7 linked regions of the Sus scrofa genome follow. The protein of the gene in region 1 purifies or fractionates together with the protein of each later gene. This does not show direct contact. Links are inferred from orthologs where the notes say so. Each region holds a gene or a part of one and is shown in the gene's direction. Other genes may lie near its edges. The genes, in order: MED19, MED12L, CDK19, MED9, POLR2F, RPAP2 and CDK8.

The links.
Region 2: the proteins of MED19 (region 1) and MED12L purify together in Homo sapiens (affinity purification with mass spectrometry; 3 studies listed by BioGRID and IntAct, counting the BioPlex papers as one, with this or other methods). This does not show direct contact. The link is inferred for Sus scrofa from reciprocal best matches to the Homo sapiens genes MED19 and MED12L.
Region 3: the proteins of MED19 (region 1) and CDK19 purify together in Homo sapiens (affinity purification with mass spectrometry; 7 studies listed by BioGRID and IntAct, counting the BioPlex papers as one, with this or other methods). This does not show direct contact. The link is inferred for Sus scrofa from reciprocal best matches to the Homo sapiens genes MED19 and CDK19.
Region 4: the proteins of MED19 (region 1) and MED9 purify together in Homo sapiens (affinity purification with mass spectrometry; 6 studies listed by BioGRID and IntAct, counting the BioPlex papers as one, with this or other methods). This does not show direct contact. The link is inferred for Sus scrofa from reciprocal best matches to the Homo sapiens genes MED19 and MED9.
Region 5: the proteins of MED19 (region 1) and POLR2F purify together in Homo sapiens (affinity purification with mass spectrometry; 3 studies listed by BioGRID and IntAct, with this or other methods). This does not show direct contact. The link is inferred for Sus scrofa from reciprocal best matches to the Homo sapiens genes MED19 and POLR2F.
Region 6: the proteins of MED19 (region 1) and RPAP2 purify together in Homo sapiens (affinity purification with mass spectrometry; 3 studies listed by BioGRID and IntAct, with this or other methods). This does not show direct contact. The link is inferred for Sus scrofa from reciprocal best matches to the Homo sapiens genes MED19 and RPAP2.
Region 7: the proteins of MED19 (region 1) and CDK8 purify together in Homo sapiens (affinity purification with mass spectrometry; 8 studies listed by BioGRID and IntAct, counting the BioPlex papers as one, with this or other methods). This does not show direct contact. The link is inferred for Sus scrofa from reciprocal best matches to the Homo sapiens genes MED19 and CDK8.

What each region holds. Positions count from the first base shown.
Region 1 is NC_010444.4:13,247,811-13,251,310, forward strand, and holds the end of MED19 (mediator of RNA polymerase II transcription subunit 19), read left to right. Parts: coding exon 1-72; intron 73-238; coding exon 239-335; intron 336-1,156; coding exon 1,157-1,251; intron 1,252-1,349; coding exon 1,350-1,418; 3' UTR 1,419-3,011; downstream 3,012-3,500. UniProt on the Homo sapiens protein: Component of the Mediator complex, a coactivator involved in the regulated transcription of nearly all RNA polymerase II-dependent genes.
Region 2 is NC_010455.5:91,565,088-91,568,587, forward strand, and holds part of MED12L (mediator of RNA polymerase II transcription subunit 12-like protein), read left to right. Parts: coding exon 1-99; intron 100-2,048; coding exon 2,049-2,160; intron 2,161-3,500. UniProt on the Homo sapiens protein: May be a component of the Mediator complex, a coactivator involved in the regulated transcription of nearly all RNA polymerase II-dependent genes.
Region 3 is NC_010443.5:76,594,477-76,597,976, reverse strand, and holds part of CDK19 (cyclin-dependent kinase 19), read left to right. Parts: intron 1-529; coding exon 530-796; intron 797-3,500.
Region 4 is NC_010454.4:60,931,200-60,935,154, reverse strand, and holds the start of MED9 (mediator of RNA polymerase II transcription subunit 9), read left to right. Parts: upstream 1-1,155; 5' UTR 1,156-1,256; coding exon 1,257-1,477; intron 1,478-3,955.
Region 5 is NC_010447.5:9,907,722-9,911,221, reverse strand, and holds part of POLR2F (DNA-directed RNA polymerases I, II, and III subunit RPABC2), read left to right. Parts: intron 1-577; coding exon 578-708; intron 709-3,500. UniProt on the Homo sapiens protein: DNA-dependent RNA polymerase catalyzes the transcription of DNA into RNA using the four ribonucleoside triphosphates as substrates.
Region 6 is NC_010446.5:124,739,415-124,742,914, reverse strand, and holds part of RPAP2 (putative RNA polymerase II subunit B1 CTD phosphatase RPAP2), read left to right. Parts: intron 1-1,096; coding exon 1,097-2,033; intron 2,034-3,500.
Region 7 is NC_010453.5:4,155,442-4,158,721, forward strand, and holds part of CDK8 (cyclin-dependent kinase 8), read left to right. Parts: intron 1-1,354; coding exon 1,355-1,452; intron 1,453-2,514; coding exon 2,515-2,593; intron 2,594-2,717; coding exon 2,718-2,876; intron 2,877-3,280.

The sequences.
Region 1 (3,500 bases):
CCTATTCTTGGTGGCTCTTTTAATCCTATCACAGGGACCATGCTGGCTGGTTTTCGCCTCCACACTGGCCCGGTAAGTCCCTTCTTGGGGAGGAAGAAGGCAAGTGGGTAGGCCTGAAAGCCTTGGAGGTGGTTTTTCTGCTCACATCTGTTCCTTCCTAAGTTACTGAGCAGAGCAGATGATGCAAGTAGGGGATTTCCTCCCTCTGCTAACCCAGACCGTCCTTTGGTTCCTTCAGTTGCCAGAACAGTGTCGTCTGATGCATATTCAGCCTCCCAAGAAGAAGAATAAGCACAAGCACAAACAGAGCCGTACCCAAGATCCTGTCCCCCCAGGTAAGAAGCAGTTCTCTTCAAAGCCAGAGAACCAGATGTTCTGAATTTGGTTGAATCTTCCTCAGTTAAAAACCCAGTTAAGTTCCTTATGGGCTGAGGACTCCCAAATTCTCCTTTTTAATTAATTAATTTTTACTTATGGCTGTGCCCGTGGCATATGGAAATTCCTAGGCCAGGGATTGAATCCAAGGCACAGCTGTGACCCATACTGCAGCTGGGGCAACCCCAGGTCCTTTAACCAACTGCGCCAGGCTAGGGATCCAAACCAAACCTCTGCAATGACCTGAGCAGCTGCAGTGATTCTTTTTTATTGTTTTCTTCTACAGTATTTTTTTGTCCTTTTTCGGACTGCACCTGCGGCATGTGGACGTTCCCAGGCTGAATCAGAGCTATAGCTGCCAGCCCACAGCACAGCCACAGCAATGCCAGATCCTAGCTGCATCTTTGACCTGTACCACAGCTCACAGCAACGCCAGAACCTTAACCCACTGAGTTAAGGGGCCAGGGATCAAGCTCTCATCTTCATGGATACTAGTTGAGTTTGTAACTGCTACACCACCAGGGGAACTCCGCTGCAGTGATTCCTAACCCAGTGTACCACAGTGGGAACTCCATGAATTCTCCTTGAAGCAGTTGACATAATGGGGTCTTTTGGCCAGATAGGAATTTGGGGCACGGGTTTAAGCGGTGCCTCTGAATCCTTTCTGGTCATTTGAAGAAAAGCCGCCCCCCTTGACTAGGGGTTTTCCTCTAGACTTCAGAGTTCTAGCAGTGGAAGATTTTGACCTCTACAGGTGACAGATGCCTCATATCTCCTACAGAAACACCATCTGATTCAGATCACAAGAAAAAGAAAAAGAAAAAAGAAGAGGATCCTGAACGGAAAAGGAAGAAGAAAGAGAAGAAGAAAAAGAAGGTATAGTAGCGGTCTGTGGCTGCAGCCCAGTGAGTCTCCCCAGGTCACCCCTGTCCTAGGTAGCCTCTTATTTTCTTACTCCTCCTTGTCTTCCCCAGAACCGACACAGTCCAGACCACCCAGGTATGGGCAGCTCTCAAGCCAGCAGCAGCAGCAGCCTCCGCTAACAGAACCAGTATATTCTGCCAGAATGACTTTCCTGCTGACAAAAGCTGCCTTCCGGGCTCATGGTCACTGCCCTGGGAGCACCCCCCCGCCCCACAGCTGGGACAGAAGCCAGCTCCTGCTGTGCTCAGTTAAGATGAACACTTTGTAAGAGAGAAGGGCCATGCTTTTTAAAGCCTCAGCCCAGTTTGCTTTCTCATGGACATTTTTTCCTCTCCTGGGAAGCTTTCTTTTCATCTCTTTTGTGCCATTTGTCTGATTTAGGACTTTATCTGATTTGTTAGGATTTTTATTTTCTTAAAATTGCATTTCTCAAACTGGCTGAAGTGTGGCTGCCTGTTAAGAGGTAAGTGCCTTTCTTCGAGAGTCAGGGTTTAGGCCAAGGCATGCTAAGATCTGAGGGGATTGGGGTCTTGTATTCCATTATCTCATCAGCAGGCAGGGAAACAACCAAAATGAGATTGGGGAACATGGTCCAAAAGTGAAGCAGAGTTTGCTAATACCTTTCCACAGCAGACACATAATTCTGCCCATAATGCTGAGAACCAAGTACCTGGATGATTTTTAGGCTCTGTCTGAAGGAACTGATTTAGGGTTTTAGCCGATTTAATTAGGGTTCAGCTCTATTCTAGGTCAATTTTGTATTATCAACAAGGTTGCTTTTTAGTAAAGCCTATGATTGAATCCGAGCCACAGCTGTAACCTACACAGCAGGATTCTTAACCCATTGTGCCATAGTGGGAACTCCAGCCTATGATTTTTTTGATCATATGATCATGGCAACACCAGATCCTTAACCCACTAAGCGAGGCCAGGGATTGAACCCGAGTCCTCACAGATACTAGTCAGATTTGTTTCTGCTGAGCCACAACGGGAACTCCCAGACTATTTTTTGAAATAAACCTCTGGCAAGCAGAGATACATGCTTCTAAGAACTTTTGACCTGTTTCATTCCATAAGACAAATGAAATCATTTGGCTGATGTGAAAACATTTCTAAGCTTCCAAGACACCAACAAAAAGGCAGCCTTAACTAGTAAAATGTCAAATAAATCCCTTCAGTCTTTGCAGCAGGCCAGGTAACTGGAAAAAAACATCCATGAGATAATCCAAGCTAATGTAGTTGGACTTGAAGTTCATTTTGAAACAGAATAGTTAAAATCTGTTGCTATGGGCCAAGGTTCCTAGGTTGCCAGATGGAAAACTACTCATTCAGCTCATTTTAACCTAGGATTTCAGAGCAAGGACAGCGAGAGGGTTCTGGCCAGTTTTCTGAGATTTCATGTCTGAGGATGCCTATTTAAAATAAGGGCACAGCCTTTTGCTTTTGACAAAGAAACAATATGAGATGTCAGATTAAGTGCCACCATATACCCCTCTGGTCTGTCTGCCTTTAAAAGGCTTTCATACTGTGATGATCCACTGGCTCGCCTTTGGCTACATCCAAAATGAGCTCTCTTTTCCAGAGACAAAATTCTGTATTAAAGAACTGTGGCAAAAATCAAGAGCTCTCTAAGTTTTGAAGTAAGAAGTTTTGGTGGTTACAAAGATTTTTTTTTCTGAAATCTTTAATTAAATCACTGAATTAAAACAGGATCTCTTGTTTTAAGTGGTTATTTTCACTGCTGTCCTGCCTAAAGGTGGGCCAGGACCAGAGAAACTTAGGAGGTTTTCTGTGTAATTTCCCATTAGAGATCATCCACCCTGCCCTAACCACACAAAATAACACAAGTCAGGGGGAGCTGGTTAGATCAGGATTTCTTTTTATTCCTTGTTGGTTTAAAATGGCTAATCAGAATAAAAAATAAAAGGGCCTCTGTCCAGAGGCTGGGGTCTCCCCTATTTAGAGGTTAGAACCCAGGTATCCCCTCTACCCAGCACCATACTGAGGTGGGCTGAGGGGTAACCCCCAAGGGACAATCGGAGGGGCCTAGGCCTGCCACTCCTTCTCTCTTATCCCCAGTTTTTGGCATATGATGAGAAATATTGCTTTTTGGATTCTTATCTCCCAGCCTGGGTTTTAAAAATGATATCAACCATGTTGGTTGGCGGGGGGATGGGGGGGGAGTTTGAGGGGCCAGTTGA
Region 2 (3,500 bases), on another chromosome or scaffold:
GCAGGGAAGAGTGTTGAAAGCTGCTGGGGAGGAGCTGGAGAAGGGACAGCACTTGGGTTCTTCTTCCAAAAAGGAGAGAGACAGACAAAAACAGAAAAGGTATGGCTGCTATAGGTGTTTCTATGTGAGTGTTTAAAGAACAGTTGAGAGAATCCAGTATCCTACAGATATACATCCTTGTTGTACCCAGAGTCTACTGAAATTTCATCTTTATATGAAATTGAAAATATTCTATTAGGCAAAGCTCTGTTTCCTAAAAGATTTCGCATTATAATACTCAGTACACTAGCTCTCCCTTCTGCCTCTGTACCCTAATCACTGCTGTGCTGTTAAAGGCTTTTTAGCCCCACTTCAGACCTACTGAATCAGCTTTGGATATCCACTTCATCCTGTATTCAACAGGTTGTTTTTTTTTTTTTTTTTCTTATTATTTAGGTACTTAGGTTTAAAATTCATGCAATTATTTATAATTCTATCATGCTGGACCCTGAAATAGTTACTAATATTTTTAACATTTAGGGCTCTTGTTCTAGACTACACACACATTAACTTATAAGCCTCCAAGTCAAAAATTTTTTTTAAAATTTTATGCCCTAGAAAATGTTTCATATAATTATTTTGGAAAACTGACCATGTTACTGAGAAAGAACAAAAATATGCTCTAATGTGAAAGCATGTTAAATTTAGCACACCAGGAGTGAGAAGAAATTTCTAATGTTAAAAAACAAAAATTCCGATCATACAGATTTCTTGTCACCTAATTAATAGTATTTCAGTAGTTGCCATTTAATGATCCCTTATAAAATGTCAACCTATGTACCAAACTCATTATATGCATATGTGAACTTTTAAAATCTCACAGCAATCGTATTGTGGTAGATGCTCTCATTATATCCTTTTTATAGGTAAAGAAACTGAGGCACTGAAAGGTTAAGTAAATTTCTCAAGGACACATAGCTAAAGAGGTGTAAAGTTGGGATTGAAACCCAGGTGGTCTGGCCTCTGAGTCTGTGCTCTTAACTAAAGTACATTTTGTTATTTGACATAGCTTTGTGTGTATGTTGTTTGGTATCTGGTTGTTCTGTCATCTTTGCCCATATTTGTTAACCAGTGAAGTGACACAGTTTTAATTCTCAAAGTTTATCTGCTAATGGGCGATGGCATGTACTTCGCCTCACTTCCTGCAGGGAGAGCAGATGGAATTGCAGAGTTTAAAGATGGCTCTTCCCAAGCTAATCTCTCTTGGCTATGCTGGTGTAAGATGAAGCAGATTGAAACATTATGACCTCCATCTCATTTTAAGGAATTTTCTTTTCCAGTGTAGCAAAATTAGTTTATCAGCATGATTTGTCAGTTGTTCCTGATCATGGAAGAAAAAAATGCTAAAATGCCAATTTAAAATGGAGTTTTTCCCCCCAAATGTCTTTAAACTCCTTTACACGTTAAGCCTGTGGGATGTGGCAGAGTACTGGGGATCACTAGCAAGCATACTGGTTTGGAGTCCTCCTTGGAGGAGTAGATGCTAATTTTAGCTCTACCAATACCCAGCTATTTGGTCTTGAGAAATGTGCTATAAATAAATAAATAAATAAATAAGCACAGAAATCATATAAGGCCTATTTCCTGGACCCTAAAATAGTAATACTAAGTGACAGAAATTTAAAATTTTTTCATTTTTCTGTGTATGAAGTGATATTCCTCCTGATGTGTATCTTTTAATTCAGTTTACTGATAGAAACTGCAAAGTCTCTTCTTCTTGTTCCCCCTCCCCCCATACGCACTCATATGTGGTATGAATTTATGCTAATTTGGAAATGCCTTTCAGGGCAAGAAAACATATTAAATCTAGAAGCATTACAGTGGCTTTTTAATCTTATTAGTTAGAGATATGATTTAACTTTTCAAGTAGTCTTGGCTATTTACTACTCCCCTCCCTTTTCTAATAGTAAAATAAATAAGAGCCGATAACGCGAGGGCAAGAAATAAGTGTTGCACAGAAAGTAATCCATTCTTTCTAACTAGATCTCCTGTTATTACTTCCTTCGTAGTATGTCTCTTTTGAGTCAACAACCATTCCTCTCACTGGTCCTTACCTGCCTGAAGGGACAGGATGAACAACGAGAAGGCCTCCTAACATCGCTGCAGAATCAAGTTAACCAGGTAAAGTGCAGTAGAATACTAAGCCAGGCAAGTATGGTTCTAATGGCATTCATTTGTTTTCCTTTCAAACAAACTGACATTAAACTCATAAGAGTGCAATGTGTTTTGCTTAGATGCAGGAAAACAATTCCCACCCTGTTCTCCTACCTGTGTTCTTATCACCATGAGATGAATAGCAGTATAATATTAATTATGTGTTGGATAAATGTCTGTATACAAGTAACATTCTGCATATTGCACATAACTTTGTTACAAAGTTGTTGCTCCTCTCCTGCCCCTGCCTCCTGGGAAAGGTCCTAGAGGAATCAATATTGAAGGAGGCCTGGCAGTAAGACAAAAGGACCTCTTGCCAGGTCCTCCGTTGGGCTTCCACTTATCAGGAAGGGTCTCAGAGTGAGCTCTGTAAGTTCAGAAACTCATCTTAATTTTACTGCTAGAGCCAGACTGTTGCTGGTCAAGTGTACAAGATACTCATTTATGAATCAGAAGCCATTCTGGTTCATTTTCAAAGACTTTTTGAATTTTGCCTTTGCACCATCCACAGTTCTGATTACGATTTAGAGCACAGGTATTCTGTGTACCACAAGGAAACTGAGTGATCAAATTGGAATTTGAAAGTATAGAATGGAGCAGAGTGGATAGATTGGTCATCTGGCATGTTTTATCCAGCTGTAGAGCCTAATGGAGTCTATGTGGGACTATGATTTCAGTGACACAGTGTCTTTTCCTTGAACAGTTCTGGATGAACACGAACAAGATACTTAACTTCTTGGGGATCTCTTGTCATCTGCTACCTTCTGGATATGTGAAATCTATTCTCTATATAGTAGGCAGAATGATTGTTTTTAAGTGTAAATCACAAATTTTTCCAGTGCTCCAAATGCTGCAGTGTTTCTTACTATTCCTAGAATAATAATTCCCAGTCTGAGCCTATAAGCCCCTCCACAATTTGGCACCAGCTCCAACCTCTACCTGGTTTCCTGGCAGTCATGGGTCTGCTCATTCTACTCTTTTCACAGTGGCCATGTTGCTGTTCCATGAACTTGCCAAGCAAATTCTCACTGCAGAGTCTTAGAATCTTTTCTCCCCTCCCAGGGCAGCTCCTTCACTTCCTCAGGTCTCTGCTCAGATGTCACTTCCCTAGGTGCGCCATCCCACTCCCTCATGCTCTAAAAGTAGGACCAGTCATTGTCTGTCCCCTGGTTCATGCCGCTTGTTCCACTTATTTTTATTTGCCTGATACCAGAATGTCAGCTCCATGATACTTTGTGCATTTTGCTAACTACCTTTCCCCGTTTACCTGCCTTGGGGGAGGTGCATCCCTATCTTTTGACAAGATT
Region 3 (3,500 bases), on another chromosome or scaffold:
AACCTGTGCCTCCCCAGCAACCTGAGCCACTGCAGTCGGATTCTTAACTCGTTGTGCCACAGTGGGAACTCCCATTCTCTGGTTCTTAATTTTTGCCTTTTTTGTTTGTTTTGTTCGGTGTCATTACCATCACTTTACGCAGGCTGCTTTTAAAGCATCATTCAGTCCTTTGATCGTAACTGACTTCACTCCACACAGCCCTACTTTTCCAAATTGATTGAAAAGACTATTCTAGCTATTTTAATGAGTTGCTGTCTATTTCCTCTGTCCCCGTGGGCCTTCAGTGGGATATCTGTGACTGGTTTGGAGGATTACTATGCAATCTAAATGAACTTTAGAGAATGAGTCCTGTTCAGGGCTCAGCACTTTGACTTTGGAGGATGCTGTATTCCTTGGCCGCTCCATTCTCTGGTCGGTCCAGTCACTATAGTGTCCCACAGAGATCACTCCCCAGTTGCTCATCATATCATATAATGGTAGAGTTAATTTAGTTCCATACCAAGCTTACTTTTTTTTTCCTCTTTATAAGAATCAGCAACAGCAGCAGAACCAACATCAGCAGCCCACAGCCCCTCCACAGCAGGCAGCAGCCCCCCCACAGGCACCCCCACAGCAGCAGAACAGCACCCAGACCAACGGGACGGCAGGAGGGGCTGGGGCCGGGGCCGGGGGTGCCGGGGCAGGGCTGCAGCACAGTCAGGACTCCGGCCTTAATCAGGTGCCTCCAAACAAGAAACCGCGGCTAGGGCCTTCAGGCACAAACTCAGGCGGGCCTGTTATGCCGTCAGATTATCAGGTACCTCCCCAGATTTTATACTCTTTAATGTTCATACTGTTAAAAAGGAAAATTCAACTGAGTAAATTTTAAAGGTCTTATTGGCTTTATTCAGTGATTCATGTATCAGGCAGTATCTCGTCTAGCAAATAGAAAGACTCTCTGAAGAGCCGTAGAAAATGGAAGACTCTTAGAAGCAGAAGGAGGTGGGACAAGGAAGTTATTCTAACAAAGGGCTGATTGTTTTTTTCCTTTGGGGGACTATGGGGCCTGTCAGGTGTATTACTTCACTAGTGCTGACCAGGAAATTGCAGACTAACTGGATATGATTACATTCCTGGGGGAGGCTGAAACTGCAGTCAGGTTAGGAATTAAGTCTCAGTTTGGTGCCGTGGGCTTAGCACAAGTGACTCCATTTGGAGCCTCATGTCTCTTTTTTTAACAATATCTTTTATGAAACAGGAAGTCGGTTTATAATAGATCATTTTAAAATTTACCAGCAAATTAACTCTAAAGTTTGACTATATAAACTGTATAATCCTGTTTCTAGGGCATTATATGAAAATGAAGATTTTTGTCATTTTATGTAATTTTAAGAATTATAGTTTTGTTTCTTGACTTGTTTGTCCTAAAGCTCTGAGGAGGGAAGGTGAGGCAGTCATTTCCTCCTGAAAGAAAATCTCTCATTTCACACTTGCAGGTGCCTTTCAGGTTTGGGTCAGAAAAAGATACTTAGATAAGCAATTGAAAAGGGGAAGGAATGGTGGTTTATTGTGAATGAGGTAAGCAGTGTACTTCAGAAGGATGTGCTGTCACTGAGGAAATAAGCAGTACGTGCCACTGAAATATAGAAGAGAAAGGGACTGAGATTGAGACTTCTCAGGAATAACTGCTAAATCTCACTAGAAATAATTTTGATACTAGAAAATACTTTTTGTTGGAGTTCCCAATGTGGCTCAGCGGAAGCAAATCTGATTGGCATCCATGAGACGAAGGTTCCATCCCTGGCCTCACTCAGTGGGTTAAGGATCCGGCATTGCTGAGAGCTGTGGTGTAGGTGGCAGACGCGGCTCAGATCCCTCATTGCTGTGACTGTGGTGTAGGCCAGCGGCTCCAGCTCCGATTCGACCCCTAGCCTGGGAATCTCCATATGCCGTGGGTGCGGCCCTAAAAAGCAAAAAAGAAAATACTTTTTCTTAAGATTAAAAAGAAAACTATAGTTGTACTACTAATGCAGGAAATATAAAAAGAAACAAAATCTAAGGATTGGTATTTGGAGAGAGGGGTAAGAATACTGGTGAAAACTATAGAGAATCTTGGGGAAAAAGCTTTCAAGGTAATAGCAAGTTAAGAAAAGATCTAAGACGAAGGGGGAATAAAACCAAAGATTAAAAAAAAAAAAAAGAAGGTTTAAAACTATAGTCCCTCAGGGAACTGGTGGAGGAGGAGCACTTAGGAGAGAGATAATAGGAAACAAAACCACAGGCAAGGGAGACATAAACTCACTGATTAGGAACTGGAATCAAGAGAAGCAGTACCAAGAAAGACATAATAAATAGCTGTCTAAATGGGCTTTACATTCTGAATATCTTAACACACTAATGTGTTTTTGTACAACTACTTTGGAAACTTCTCCTGGAAGAGTCTTTGCGAGCAGAGGAGGATATAACAGCACTTTCATTGGTTCCAATTAAACTAATCAAGGCATCAGTTTTGATCTACTAAAACAGCTTGCTATTTGTGTAATAATCATGAACATGTTTGAAGTTTACTCTAAACTCGGGTTCCCCCTAACAGTAGTTTATTCCTATTATATGAGCCACAAACCTTTACTATATACTGGCTCATCTTTGTGCGTCTGATTGTGTTATAGTCACTTGATTACAGTTAATTGTGGACAGGTTACTTAACTACTTTATTTATTCCTTTCAAATCCAAGAGTTCTTCAAATGCTTTCCTTTGTCCATACTGAGTTGTCTACTTAAAAATAAAACAGCATGTCTCTGAAATGAGTAGCTAGGTCAGCTAGTTAATTGGAGAGACTAGCAATGAGGGGGTGAGAGTCCCATTGCACCTGTTGGTGACTCTCATTATTGACGTGCTTGCTCTTTATCCAGTATGGAGGAGCTCGCGTGCTGAGTCTAATCTGCTAAAGTCAAAGCAGTTGTAGCCAGCCTGGCAATTGTAGGCCTTGTAAATGGAAAGAACATTTTTTTTCATAATAAAATAAAATGCAGTTAGGATTTGTTATAATTATTTTTGTAATAGTTATTTCCCCAATACAGTTTTTTTTTTTCTGCTGTGCATCATGGTGACCCAGTTACACATACATGCATACATTCTATTTTCTCACATTATCATGCTCCATCATAAGTGACTAGACATAGTTCCCAGTGCTACACAGCAGGATCTCCTTCCTAATCCATTCCAGTGGCAATAGTTTGCATCTATTAACCCCAAGCTCCCAATCCATCCCACTCCCTCCCCCTGCCAGTTAGGATTTGGAAAGACTTCTTACAACAGTACAACTAAGGAGAGTTATATTATGTAGGAAGGAGTTAAACAGAATTATTTTTAGCCAGGACTATCTTATTGCTCTGTTTTCTTGGACCATCTGTTGCAAGTCCGATTTGGCTGCCTTTTGCGTACTGAGTGGGACAGCCTTGCTGATTTGTCCTTCCTTAAACCGCCAGTGCCACCTCAAGGTCATTTACATTTTTAACTC
Region 4 (3,955 bases), on another chromosome or scaffold:
AGTGCCTCTGGTCCTCCTTCCGGTTCTCCACCAGGACCCTGGCACTTCCTTTGGGCGGAGAGGCCCCTGGGCAGCAGTCCTCACCTCCCCCTCCATGCGCTCCCTCAGGGGTTCTCTGGGTAGTTCTTACAAGAAAGCAGTGTTGAGGCCCAAAGCACCCACTCCAAGCCTCCCCAGGACTTGCCTTCACAGACCCCTCTGGATGCATCTAGAAATATTTGCAGTGACGTTTTCCTTAGGACGGCCGCCTTGCTCTTCAATGCTGCTTCTCATCTTGGCACCTGACTGCAGTCTCCTTGTGTCTCTAAAGCTCTGAGGAAGGGCAGGGCTTCCACTCACCAGCGAAGCTCAGAACGTGTGTTCTCATCGCCCAGGAATTTATTACACAGCCAGGGAGGACTTGTCTTGAGGAGCATAACCACAAACCCACCAGAGTTCCCCTGGCTTTGGCCTGAGATCCCAGGGAGTGAGTGCCCCTGCAAACGCGAGCTTGGAGGCCGGCCACGTGTGGGAAGGTGGGAAGCAGTTTAGGCTCCTGAACTATATAAGGCTTTTGGGGTGAGGACGCTGAGCCCTGGAGGCTTAAGGAGCTGGGGCCCACAGGTGAGGAGAGTACGTGCCGCTGACTTCTCCTAGGACATGTTTATTCCTGGCACTAACCCCCTTCAGCCTCGTGTGGAAGTTGGGACAACTCCCACCCCTCCCCGCAGGCAGTACAGCAGTCATGGAGAAGATGCATATTAAGTATTGACTTAGTTCGTCGCAGCTTCTTTGTTCCTGCGTCCTTAGGGCGGGCGCAGGGCCTCTCCCCTGAAGGCCTCTGCGCGGGTGGGAACCGTGGGTCCCTCCGCCGGGATTCTCTCCACGCCCGCTGGCCCAGGGCCTGACCCCAGCAGGTGCTGGGCAGGGGCCTCCGCTCTTCAAGAGGCCTTATTTATCTCAAGTCTTCCGCACTTGTTGATTTTGGATCCTCTTTGTAACGCGAATAGGAATAAAATGTTATTTCTGACATATATCTATTTCTATTAACAATTTAGCTGCCTCAACGCACAACCCAAAGCAGGGCACCCTAGCCCGGCCGGCCGCCCGTTGCCTAGTAACGGACGCCCAGGCCCCGCCCCGCGTCCCCGGGCGCGCGCTCCCAGCCTCCCTCTGGGTCCCGCCCCGCGGCGCACGGTGGTGACGTGCAGAGTCCGCGACGCGTTCGGCGCGCTGAGCCGCGGCCCAGCCGACCCGCCGCGGAAACGCGGGGCGCCATGGCTTCAGTGGGGGTGCCCGCCGGCCGGCAGGCCGAGGATGCCCTGCCGCCGCCAACCGAGCCGCCGATGCCCGAAACGAAACCGCTGCCGACGCCGCAGCTGCCGACGCCGGTCTCCGCGCCGCAGCCGCAGCCCGCGCCGAGGCCTCCGTCCCCGGCCGTCGTGAAGGCGGAGGAGAACTGCTCCTTCCTCCCGCTGGTTCACAACGTCATCAAGTGGTAAGAGCCCGGGGTGCCCGCGAGTGCGCCCCCGCTGTCCGTCGCGGGCCGAGCTCCGGGGCGCCGCCGGTCCCGGGGAGGCGGCCTCGCGAAGACCACCGCGAGCCTCCCCCCGAGTTGAGCGGACGCTGAGCTCAGGGCTGCCAGGCCCCGTGCTGGCCGGGCGGAGTCCTCGAAACGAAGCCGACCTGGACACCACGTGCACAGGTGCAGCGTCCCTGTGGCCGGAGCCAGCCAGGCTTCTCGGGGCTGTTTTCTCACACGTAATGAAGGACAGAACGCTCGCTTCGGTGTCTTTTCCAGCAGATGTGGGTCATGTTTCGCGGGTGGCACACTGCTAAGCGCCAGGGGATGTACACTTGAAAGGGCATACGGTTCACGCCCACGTTGCTCACCAGTTAGAAGGAACAGAGTCGTGAACGGGAATAACCCATAACGCGAAGAGATTCTAGGGGTGATGATAAGGCCATGGCAGGGAATGGCCGCTAGACAGCCCGTCGCACTCACAGTTCCCAACAGGATGCCGCAGGGGTGATGTCTCCTTTAGGCCGGTCTTCAGGGGACCCGGTTTTTCAGACTGACCCTTAAAGAGGGGGGAAAACCCCACCAAAATCGCCAGGGTCCCCACATTTGCCCAAATGGTTTTTACTGTTATTTATGTCCCCATGGTAACAAGGTGTAAACCCCTCAGCTTATCACGTCTGTTTAGCCATTAAAACCCAAAACAAAGCAAATTAAAACAATGTTCCTTCTGCTCTAACACTCAGGTGGACCTCAGCATCCTCTTGGATGTTTTGCTGAAATGAAATTGCCGCTCACAACAGTGAAGTGTTGTCAGTGGCCCAGCTTGTTTTGAGTTTAGGTGGAAGAGAGTCACTGCCTGGGACGCTCTGACGCTTCCACCACTTTTCAGACAACTGCAAAGCCTTTTTTTTTCTCACATTAGAACTTGGCTTCGTTTGGTGTGAACATACTGTTTATCTGGTGAGGCCGACTCTTCTCGTGAGCCTGTGATCAGCAAGTAGCACTCGTAGGCAGCAGTGACATAGGAAACCCAACCCACCTGCACGCCCTGCAGTCCCAGGGCGGTGCTGGGTTGGAAGGGCGTTGTCCAGATGAACCCAGATTTATCTGTTCTGGTTTTTGGAAAATTAAAACACACAGTGTACACACTCTGGCATCCTGATAGGACCCTCGGGTTGGGCTGGCCTTAAAGACGGATCCTTGAGGTGCACTAGAGAGAGCATGGGCTGCGAGGTGAGATGGTCTCTCTCTCTTTTTTTTTTTTCTTTTTAGGGCCACACCCGTGGCATATGGAGGTTCCCAGGCTAGGTGTCCAATCGGAGTTACAGCCGCCGGCCTACACCACAGCCACAGCAACTCAGGATCTGCGCCGCATCTGTAACCTACACCGCAGCTCACGGCACAGATCCTTAACCCACTGAGCGAGGCCAGTGGGTTTCTCGTCGGATTCGTTTCCGCTGTGCCACGGTGGGAACTCCGAGATGAGATAGTCTTAATGCTTGCTTGCCTTGTAATCTTGGTAAATACAGAGCCTTTCTAGGCCGTAATTTTTCGTGTCGCTAAGAGGTGAATAATAGCAATGAACCTCAGAGGAGGGCTTCCGAGGTAGCTTTGTAGTGTGCTGGTGGGGCGGCCTCGGTCAAACGGCCTCTCTGAATCTTTTTCTCTCGTGAACCGGGAGCAATAACACCGAAATCGTAAGGTTGTTGTGGGGTGTTCTCAAGAACATTCTGTGAAAGACATTGTGTCCGTCCCGTGTGTGACCTGCTCTGTCCCCTCTGAGTGGACAGTGAGGAGTGTCTTTTAAGCGTAAAACTGAAAAGGACACGAGAGGGGATGATTGCCGTAGGGGGGGGCCGGGGGCTAGTCCACCTCCCAGCCCGAGGAAGCGGCCGGGAGCAGCTGCCTCTGGCCGCGGCCCCTTCCGGATCTCAGGAGGCGGCAGGGCCAAGGGCCTCCGGTGAGAGGTGATTGAGGGTGACGGGACTGAGGATGGGAGGGCTGCTTGGACGGCTGTTTAGGAGCGGATCCCCTGAGTCCTCTCGAGACCCCAGGCCCACAGGTGGTCCCCCTTCTGTCTCGGTGGATAATTAAAGGCTCACACTTTCCCAAGGTTTGTTTTTAGGAAAGAATAATGCACAGGGTCTCTGGAGGGGGGACACTTGCCCATTTCGGGAGCTGGAGGGAGAGGCCAACCTAAGAAGAGCGCTTGAGAGCAAGTCCTCAGACAGACCCGAGACCCAGCCCCGGCTTCTAGATTGACAGGCTGTCTGACCTGACACCCCAGAGACGTGGGGGCTCCCCAGGAAAGAAGCTGGTTCATCCTGAGAAGGCGGTACATCACTCACGCAGTGTCCGCTCAGCCTTTTCACTTAAAAAAAATATATGTTCCCCAGTATTTATTTATGGCCTGCTTTTTACTAATGGAGCATAAAGTAATTGTATCTTCTCTCG
Region 5 (3,500 bases), on another chromosome or scaffold:
TCCCAACCCCCAGTGTGAGGTGGTCGGCCCTCACCTTCTTGTTAGGTCCGTGTCACACTTCCACCTTTTATAGCCCTTGGAGTTTGTGTACTTTCATCTTTTCTGCACACCGAATTCTTTGAGAGCACAGACTTGTAGCTTTCTGTCTCAGTACCTGTTATGGTGTCTGGCACGTGACAGATGCTTGATGGTTAAATATAGGAAGGTAGAAAGACAGGGTGCGTGTTCCCTTCGTGCTTAGGGTGGTTTGTTGTCTGTGCTCAAGGACTTCTGTGTATGGGCCGACTCTCTTCCGGATGAGGGAGCTGGCTTTGGAATCCCGATCGGGATTCCTCTCTTGCACTAGGCCTGAGACTTTGGCCAAGTTAGCTCACTCTCCAGCCTCTCAAATGGGCACTGTGACGCCACCTCCTGAGGTTATTGTGAGGATGAAATGAGGCGCTGTTAAGGCAGTTGCATGGTCGCTGTGCGTAACCAGCAGTGGTGTGATGCACGTTGTCATCATTGTCGTTGTCCTCCTCCCTTCACCCCAGTGACGCATTCTGAGACTGTCCCTCTTTTCTGCCTTGGTGTCCAGGAGGGCCAGGAGAACGTTGAGATCCTCCCTTCTGGAGAGCGGCCGCAGGCCAACCAGAAGCGAATCACCACGCCGTATATGACCAAGTACGAGCGAGCCCGCGTGCTGGGCACCCGAGCCCTTCAGATCGCGTGAGTGTGCACCTCTAAACCATCTTTTCTGTGGGTCAGGCCATGGGGGGCCTCCGAGCTGTTGATGCGGTCCAGCCTGGCACCTGAAAACAGACCCTCCCTCCTCTCACAGGCTCAGCCAGGGGGTGCTGTCCCTGCGTGCCGGGCACTGTGCTGGACCCCGGCCTCCGGGAGTTTGTGATCCAGTGGAGCAGTAGGACAGAAACATCTGAGACGTCAAATAACAGTGCAGTGGAAGGAGAGCCGTAAGAACACAGCACTTGATGATTGCCTGTCCGTTAGGGGTGCAAATATAAATAAAGTCAGCCGCAGACCATTGTGGGCTGGTTAGTTGGGGAGCTGCAGCAGCAGCCCCTGGGCCTAAGGTGGTTTTCGACCGGCGTGGCCTCTGGTCGGCCCAGAGGAGTGGGAGAGCCCTCCCCTCGTGTGGAGGCCGTGCTAGGGAGGTGAAAGCACAGAGTCGCAGTGGAGGTTTGGGGGTTTGAAACCTCTCCCGAGCTTGAAACCAGGTGAAGAATAACAGGCCTTGGGAGACAGCGCATAGACAGCTGGGGAGCAAAATGTGTGGTGCTTGCGTGTCCATCCCGCCAGCCACAGGCGATACAGGCATCCCGAGGCCGTGTCTGCAGGGGTGAGCCTGCCTGTTCAGGTCATGGCATCGTGGAGAGCAGATCCGAAAGTGCCCTCTCTGCAGGCAGGCGGCCTTGAGGAAGCAGGGCCCCTCCAAGAGACCGGGTCAGGGATGCCTGCTTTTCTCCGCAGGCTCCCCGTCAGATGAGTTCTCCTCCATCCTGGCAAGGAGCAAGGGGGAGGACAGAGAGGGGGCAGGCCTGTCACTGCTGCTCTCGTGGAAGGTCCTCCTCGGGGAAATGTGAGGCCGAGGGAAGGAGCTGTACCCCAACTTCTCACAAGCTGCTGTGGGAAATGGTGGGTACCTAGAGGAGGGGGTGCTTCGAGGAGGGAGTAGTGGAGAGAGGCTCCAAGGGAGGGCCGGGGCCGGAAGTGTGGAGCCGCCCGTGCTGGAGGAGCGGTGATGCTCGGTCCGCACATCCCGCCCCAGCTGTTCAGACACTCGGGTCCTGTGGCATGAAGGTGACCACCATGAGGGTTTCCTGGTGGGCCGTGCTGTTCCTCGCCCACTGGGCAGGAGCAGGTCCCCTGCCAGCCCGGTGGCCCTCCTTGCTGCTCTGGGTGAAGTTAGAGCTGCACTCTGCTGCATGCTGATTTTAGTTTTGCTGGGTTCAGGACCCTCTAGGCCCGCACCACTGGTTATGGTCGCCGTGGGCTACGTCTGCCATTTACCTTTGAATTAAGTAAAACTACATAGAAGCTCAGTGTTTGGGTGGTCTCGATAGCCACATTTCCTGTGCCCAGCAGCCCCCTGTGGCTACTGTAAGGGGTAGTGCGTAGAGAGGACCTTTCCATCATTGCAGAGCGGTGATTGGGCAGTGCTCACGTCTGCTAACCATGACCTGGCAGGAAGAACAGTTCGCAGATTATTTTTCAAACAGACAGACTGTTTGCAAGTTAAAGTCTTTCAACATTGAATAAGATAGTGTGCTTGCACCTGTTGGGGCTGCAGAAATGATTAAAGACATAGTCCTCCTCCATGGAGTTCCCATTGTGGCGCAGTGGAAACGAACCTGCCTAGGAACCATGAGGTTTCGGGTTCGATCCTTGGCCTCGCTCAGTGGGTTAAGGATCTGGCGTTGCTGTGGCTGTGGCGTAGGCTGGCAGCTGTAGCTCCAATTCGACCCCTCGCCTGGGAACCTCCATGTGCCGCAGGTGCGGCCCTAAAAAGCAAAAAAAAAAAAAAAAAAAAGACACAGTCCCCCCTGTCTGCCAGGTGCTTACAGTCTGAATGGGGAGATGGACCTGCTCCAAGTACCCAGACCCAGGACTGATGGGAATTGGTGCTTTAGAAAAGAAACAGAAAAGGAGACAGGGAGTAATGGCAGGGGTGACTAGGGAAGCATCATGAAGAGATTGGATTAGAGTGAAGTGGGATTGGCAGTATCCCAGGTGCCAGAAATAGCACCCGGAAAATTCCACGTGGAGGCTGCCACGTGTGGATTGTGGTGGGGGAATGGCAGTAGCTTGGGGCACAAGGCTGGAAAAGATGTCACTGGTGCTGTGAGTGACAAGTTCAGCAGATGGGCGTGTGTTATTGGACAATGTGGAGCACTTGAAAATCGGGAGGCAGGCGTTCAGGACACTGTCAAGTCCCAGCCTCCTGCTTTTCTTGGGGAGCAAGGCCCAGCTCGGCCCAGCTTATTTGGGTCTGTAGTGCTCCTTCCCATGAAGGGCCAGGATGCTCTCTGATGGTTCCCTGGCTGCTGTAAGCCCTTGGACATCCGGAGCTGGAGCTTATCTCCAGTACTGGGCCTGCCGTCTGCACTTAGTAGATGCTGAACAAACGTTTCTGGGATAGGGTTTGGGTGAAGTCTGACTCCCGTTCATGAGCACCACCTGGCGGCTGGATGAGAGACAGCTTCCCTGAGGGCATTTGCTCTCACGCTGCCACGCAGGGAGTCGGGCTGAATAAGTCAATGCTCGTGAATTATTTGTGTCTTGAAAAAAATAAGGCATGAGCAGATAAGGGAAAGCATTTTGCCACATACTTGAAAGCTTTAAATTTGGGGGAAGTTTGTATACTTGCTGAGAGAGGATACAGGGAAAGTTAAACACTCGCTCTCTGCCCTCGGGATGTATTCAAGCTTTGGGAGTAACAGACATCAAAATATTTAGTAACGAAATTGGAAGGTTATTTTAGAGTCTGTTCAGAGGGTCTG
Region 6 (3,500 bases), on another chromosome or scaffold:
AGGAGCAAAAAAAAGAATTGGGGAATGCTTAAAACATCATTTTATTTTTGTCTTTCAAAATCTAAGCAGAGTTCCTTTTTTTTTTTTTTTTTTTTTTTGAGAAACCAATAATGAAGTTTCCAAAAGAAAAATTTTTCGGCCACGCCCATAGCCTGTGGAAATTCCCACACCAGGGATTGAACTTGAGCCACAGCAGTGACAATGCTGAATCCTTAACCACTAGGTCACCAGGGAACTCTCAAAAGAAATTTTTTTTAAAAAAGGGATTATAGGAGCTCCTGTTGTGGTGCGGTGGAAATGAATCCAACTAGGAACCACGGGGTTGCAGGTTCTATCCCTGGCCTTGCTCAGTTGGGTTAAGAATCTGGTGTTGCTGTGGCTGTAGCTCCGATTGGACCCTAGCCTGGGAACCTCCACATGCCTCGGGGTGGCCCTAAAAAGCCAAAAAAAAAGGGATTATGTAATATAATTACAGAAATGAAGGAAGCAAAAATCTAATTTAGTAGGATGAAATTATCAAGCGTAGGGTTTTGTATTTGTGTGGTTTAGGGATTTGGGGAGGTGTTTTTTTTTTTTTTTTTTTTTTTTCATCTTTTGTCTACAGAGCTAGAGCCGCCAGCCTACACCACAGCCACAGCAATGCAGGATCCGAGCCGTCTGCCACCTACACCACAGCTCATGGCAATGCCAGATCCTTAACCCACTGAGCGAGACCAAGGATCAAACCCGCAACCTCATGGTTCCTAGTTGGATTCATTTCCATTGAGCCACAATGGAAACTCCGGGTTTTGGGGGGTTTTTTTTTTTTTTTTTGCTATACTCTTAACGTTTTTAAATAATGGGGGAGAAAAGATAAGGGAAGAAGATGGAAGAACTATATACAGTTAATAAGACATAGAGAAATTCTAGAATTACAGCTTTTTTCTGCAGTGTGTGTGTGTGCGCGTGTGTATCTACAGGCTTAGGTGAATATAAGCCTATAAATAAGGCCTTGCCTAAGGAATACAAATCTCTGCCTTGAAAGTTATGAGGTATAAATACCATGGAACGTTTTGTTTTTCTGTTATAGTGGTTTTTGTTTCTTTCCTTACAACAGTGGTCATTCTGGAGAAGAAATACAGTTATCCAGTAAGGCCATTAAGACATCAGATATTGACAATCCTGACTGTTCGGAGAAGCACAATGAATCTGGTTCTTCCAGCACTCCCAGTGATAGTGGCAGTGATAATGAACCAGACTTTGTTTCCTCCATTCTGCCAGGCAGCAGGCCAACTGCAGCAGGTATAATGCCACAGCTGCACAAAAAAAGCATAATGAGAAAGAAAGCTGATCAAAAAGTGAACTCCAACCATGAAAGTGAAGAGCGGATAGTAATAGATGCCACGGAGCAGTTAGGTCATTGCAGATTAGAGAATCAGGAGAAAGCTTCTGCTTGTGAACCTCCCTTACAGGAGTTAAATACTCAGATTTCTTCACATAGTCCTTCGCAAGAAAAATTAGAAGCTTCAGAAATTTCTGAAAGTAAGTGCAGTAGTTCAAAAATAACTCTTGTAGGCATAAGTAAGAAAAGTGCTGAGCATTTTAAGAGGAAATTTGCCAAATCAAGTCAGGTTTCTAGGTCAGCTTCTAGTTCAGCGCAGGTGTCCTCTGAAGTTGGAAAGGCAAACTTACTTAAAGCCCTGAAGGAGACCTTGGTTGAGTGGAAGACAGAAGAAACCTTGAAGTTTTTGTATGGCCAGAATTATGCTTCTGTATGTCTGAAGCCTGCTTCAGCACCTCTGGTTAAAGAAGAAGAACTTGATGAAGATGACGTAACCTCTGACCCAGAGAGTCGTTCCCCTGCCCTGCAGGAATCTCCGAACAGCCTGGATGAGTCTTTACCGTTTAGAGCCTCAGATACAGCCAGTAAACCATTGCCAAGTTATGAGAACTTGAAAAAAGAAACTGAAACATTAAATCTAAGGATCAGGGAGTTTTATAGAGGACGATATGTTTTGAATGAAGAAACCACCAAATCACAAGACTCAGAAGAGGTATGTCTTTTTTATTTAAAAAAATTTTTTTTAATTTTTTTTTCTTTTTGCAGCCACACCTTCAGTATGCGGATGCTCCTGGGCTAGGGGTCGAATCAGAACAGCAGCTGCTGGCCTACGCCACAGCCGCAGCCGCAGTAACTGCGGATCCGAGCCACATCTGTGACCTCCGCCACAGCTTGCGGCAATGCTGGGTCTTTAACCCAGTGAGTGAGGCCAGGGTTCGAACCTGCATCCTGATGGATACTATTTAAAGTTTGCCCCAGAAAATTTTCATAAATATTTAACATTTTCTCTAACGTAGAAGAAGCCTAGAATTGGGGAATTGTCTTTTTTTTTTTTTTTTTTTTTTTTTTTTTGTCTTTTTGCTATTTCTTGGGCCGCTCCCATGGCATATGGAGGTTCCCAGGCTAGGGGTCTAATCAGAACTGTAGCTGCCAGCCTACGCCGGAGCCGCAGCAACGCAACGCAGGATCCGAGCCTCGTCTGCAACCACCACAGCTCATGGCAACGCCAGATGGTTAACCCACTGAGCAAGAGCAGGGATCGAACCCACAACCTCATGGTTCCTAGTCGGATTCGTTAACCACAGCACCACGACGGGAACTCCAGGAACAAAGTTTTCTTTAAAACCCAGTTCTTCGTGTAATATCTGTACTCTCTGAAAAGGCTTGTTTTTTGTTGTTGTTGTTGGTATGGATACTTTTGAATTTGTACATAGGGTGTATATCTTCGTGTTTCATTTCCAGTAGGACTGTATGCAGTGGAGTAGACTTAGTAGTTAAACAGTAAAATATTTGGATAATATTTGGCAAGCGTGCCCATTTAAAATATTATTTATGAATAGAATTTAGTAGACGAGACATATTGGGGAAATACTGGACATGGGAGAAGATTCAGGTAAACCTGGATTTGAATATCTGCTCTGCCACTCCCTAGCTATGTGAAACCTTAGTCTCATTGCTTATGTGTAAAGGGGATTATAAATGGCTTCCCTTGCTCAATTGTTAGGCGTTTTAAAGGTAGTGAATAGAAGGCAGTTACCACAGTGCCTCACATATAATTGCTACTAGTTACATGTAAACAGTTACATGTGGAAATGGACCTATGCCACTGAGCGCTAGGGAGGTTCCTTCACTATTTCCATTACCCATTTTTGGTTGGTTATGTAGTTTGGGAAATGAAGTCATCTGGCATAAAGAGGAATAGGTGATAATCTTGTTTTTACCACAGGAGTTTGTTGTGAAAGATTTCTGAGTAAAAATAGCTCTAAATTTAAGAACACCTTTGGAGATTTAAAAAAAGGATGAAAGTAGAAATACAGTAAAAATTTAGAAATTCTTCTGTTTCTGTAGAATGTTACCTAACCTAGCTCTATATTTGAAATCACTTTAGCTGTATAAATAGCATCCATAACTTTAATATGAATCTTGGAGAAACAATAATCTCTGTCACTCAGCTTCATAA
Region 7 (3,280 bases), on another chromosome or scaffold:
TCACCTGGGCAACGCTGCAAGTGCAGGTGCTTGGCTCCTGCCCAGATGTGCTGCTCAGCAGCTCCGGAGTCACTAGGAAGTGCTCCGGGGACGCCTCCGATGTGCTTCAAGTCTGAAAGTGCTGCGTGTTAGGCCAGAGGTGGTGGGCTGAGGGCGCACCTGTTAGAGGGCCTCTTAAGTCACACGTTAAAGGCTCTCGTTCCTAGAATCCTCAGTCCCTCATATTTCAACGAAAAAGTGCTGAATTTTGACATTAGTTTCACCTTTCGGTATCTCATTACAACAACAGTAATAATACCAACACCTAGAGAGCGCGTTCCCCACGCCTGGCACCACTGTAATTGCTTTTCGTCATTCTGAAAAGAAACATGATAAAAGGTACTGTTTCTAAGCTCCATTTGGCAAATGGGGTTACAGAGGGCTTAAGTAATTTGTTCACAGTCACCCGACTCATAAATGTCAGGTCAGGATTTGAGGCCAAGCAGCGTCTCTGCAGAGTCCCCGCCGATAGCACCTGGCCTTGCTGCACAGGTTCTGTACCGGGTGCCGTGTTTACATAGCCCCGGGCGGCAGTGCCAGAGATGGCTGTCTGAGAGCCGTGCTGTTGGGAGGGTAGCCGCTGAGCTCTGGAAATACACCTGATATGACTGAGAAATTGACTTTTTTTTTTTTTTTTTAATTAAGAAAAAAATTTTTTTCTAGGGCCACAACTGCGGCTTATGGAAGTTCCCAGGCTAGGGGTTGAATAAGAGCTGTAGCCGCCGGCCTCCACCACAGCCACATCATCTCGGGATCCGAGCTGCGTCTGCGACCTACACCACAGCTCACGGCAACGCCGGATCCTTCACCCACTGAGCAAGGCCAGGGATTGAACCTGTGTCCTTATGGCTACTAGTTGGGTTTGTTTCCACTGCGCCACATGGGAACTCTGAAAAATTGACTTTTTAAATTTAACTTGGTTTTAATTAATTTGGTTTTAACTCTAAATAGCCACATGTAGCTAGTTTATTCTTTGGGGTATAATGTTTTCCCCTTAGTAGAAAACACAGGCATTTTGGTCCTGTTCTAAATTGGACGTGGCAGTTCAGATGGTGTAGGAAAAAGGTCTTGGTTGAGAGTAAGAAGACGTATGTTTAGTTACTTCTTATAGGAGAACCGGGTGAGCTGATGATTATTAAAATGACTCGTGTGAATGACTACATGAAATTGAAAGGTTTTTAGTTTTTAACTGGGGGGAATGAAACCCTCTGAACTGTGGTGTTATTGATCAAAAACCGTGTACCTCCCACAAATGTGCCAAAAGGTAAAACTTTGAGAAGTAATGCAGTGATGTTTTTATGATTTATGGTTTCAGCTTCAGAAATTGCTTACCATGGACCCAATAAAGCGAATTACCTCAGAACAGGCTATGCAGGATCCCTATTTCTTAGAAGACCCACTTCCTACATCAGAGTAAGTGATCAGTTTATTAACTCACCAGCACAATAGAATTTTTTGGTGCGTGCTTTTTTTTTTTTTCTTTTTTAAAGCCACTTCTGTGGCATATGAAAATTCCTGGGCCCAGGCTCAAACCCATGCCACAGCAGCGCGGGCACTGCATCCTCAGCCCACTGTGCCGCCAGGGAGCTAGCTCTTGGTGCGTGCTTTTTTTTAGCTGTCAATGCCAGGTTGCTGCTGCTCTTGTTCGGGGACTCAAAGAAATCCTTATGACAAGCAGAAAACGAGCTGGTGACTGAGAGCCGTCAGGCTTTTACAGCGGAGAGACGCTGCTGCCCTGCTTGCTGCCCGCGGCCGGTGGCGGCGGTAGTCGAGGGCGGGCTGCTCCCACGCACTGGCACTCCCTGGGGCTCTGAGCCGGCGCACTGCTTGCACTTAGTTCTGTGTCCCAGTTGCAAGCCCCACCCCAAAGAAGTGTGTGGTCCCCATACATTCCTTCTTTTTTTTTTTTTTTTTTTCCGTCTTTTTGCCTTTTCTAGGGCCGCACCTGCAGCATACGGAAGTTCCCAGGCTAGGGGTCCAGTCGGAGCTGTAGCTGCCAGCCTGCACCACAGCCACAGCAACATGGGATCCGAGCCACATCTGCAACCTACACCACAGCTCACAGCAACGCCAGATCCTTAACCCACTGAGCGAGGCCGGGGATTGAACCCGTGTCCTCATGGATCCTAGTCGGGGTGGTTAACCACCGAGCCACGGTGGGATCTCCCATTTCGTGCATTTTGGATGCAGTCTGGAGGGTAGAATGCAGTTTTGTTGAGTCATGACATTCCAGCTGCGATCTCTGCCTTGGTTGTGGTGCTGAAGGAGCAGTGCCGACATAAAGGAGAGCCGAGGCCCTTTGGATGGTGCCTGGGGGTGCCGGTGCTTTTGTTCAGTCACTGGTTGGGAGAAGACACGCACTGCCTCGCGGCTGCACCGGCAGGGAGGCGGAGGCTGTCTGAACGGTGAAAGCGCGTTTGAGACGCTGATCAGCGCGCCGGAAATCGTTGTTGTCTCTTCTCTTTCCTGGGTCAGCGTTTTTGCCGGTTGTCAGATCCCGTACCCTAAAAGAGAGTTTTTAACGGAGGAAGAGCCCGAGGACAAAGGAGACAAAGTAAGTGTCAGGGTGCGGGGCGGCTTCGTGCGTTTCTGCTGGGGTGCCGCCTGCCTTCTGCGGCCGCGGCCGCGGTTTGCTCCCCTCTGAGTTGCTCTCTCTCTTTCCGTTTCACCAAATTGAGAAGAACCAGCAGCAGCAGCAGGGCAATAACCACACTAATGGGACTGGCCACCCCGGGAACCAGGACAGCAGCCACACGCAGGGCCCCCCGTTGAAGAAAGTGCGGGTTGTTCCTCCTACCACTACCTCAGGCGGACTCATCATGACCTCAGACTATCAGGTACGGCCGCCCGCAGCCCTGCATGGGGGTGGTGGCCCCGGGGCCGCGGCGGCAGGAGCACAGCGCCAGCCTCTGCTGCTCGGGAGACGTTGGCCTGGGGGGTTGCTGGCCTGCAAAGCGCCAGGCGGTTCTGTCGAGGAGGCTTAGCCAGGCGTGGAACGGTCGGACCGAACGGCGCCCCTGTTAACCCGGTGGCCTCGGTCAGGTCCTAGACAGGGCCTGGCTTTGGCGTCTCCTCCGGAGCACGAGCCGCGGGAAGCCACGTGGGGGCGGGTGGGCCTCAGCGCCCAGCGTCCAGGAGGTGCCCAGGAAGTGCCGTCTGTCGTCTGAAACCACGGCAGCTAGGGACGCGGTTAGGCCTGTGGGCAGCCTTGAGTGGGAGGCTGGGGCCCTCGGCTCCCGCG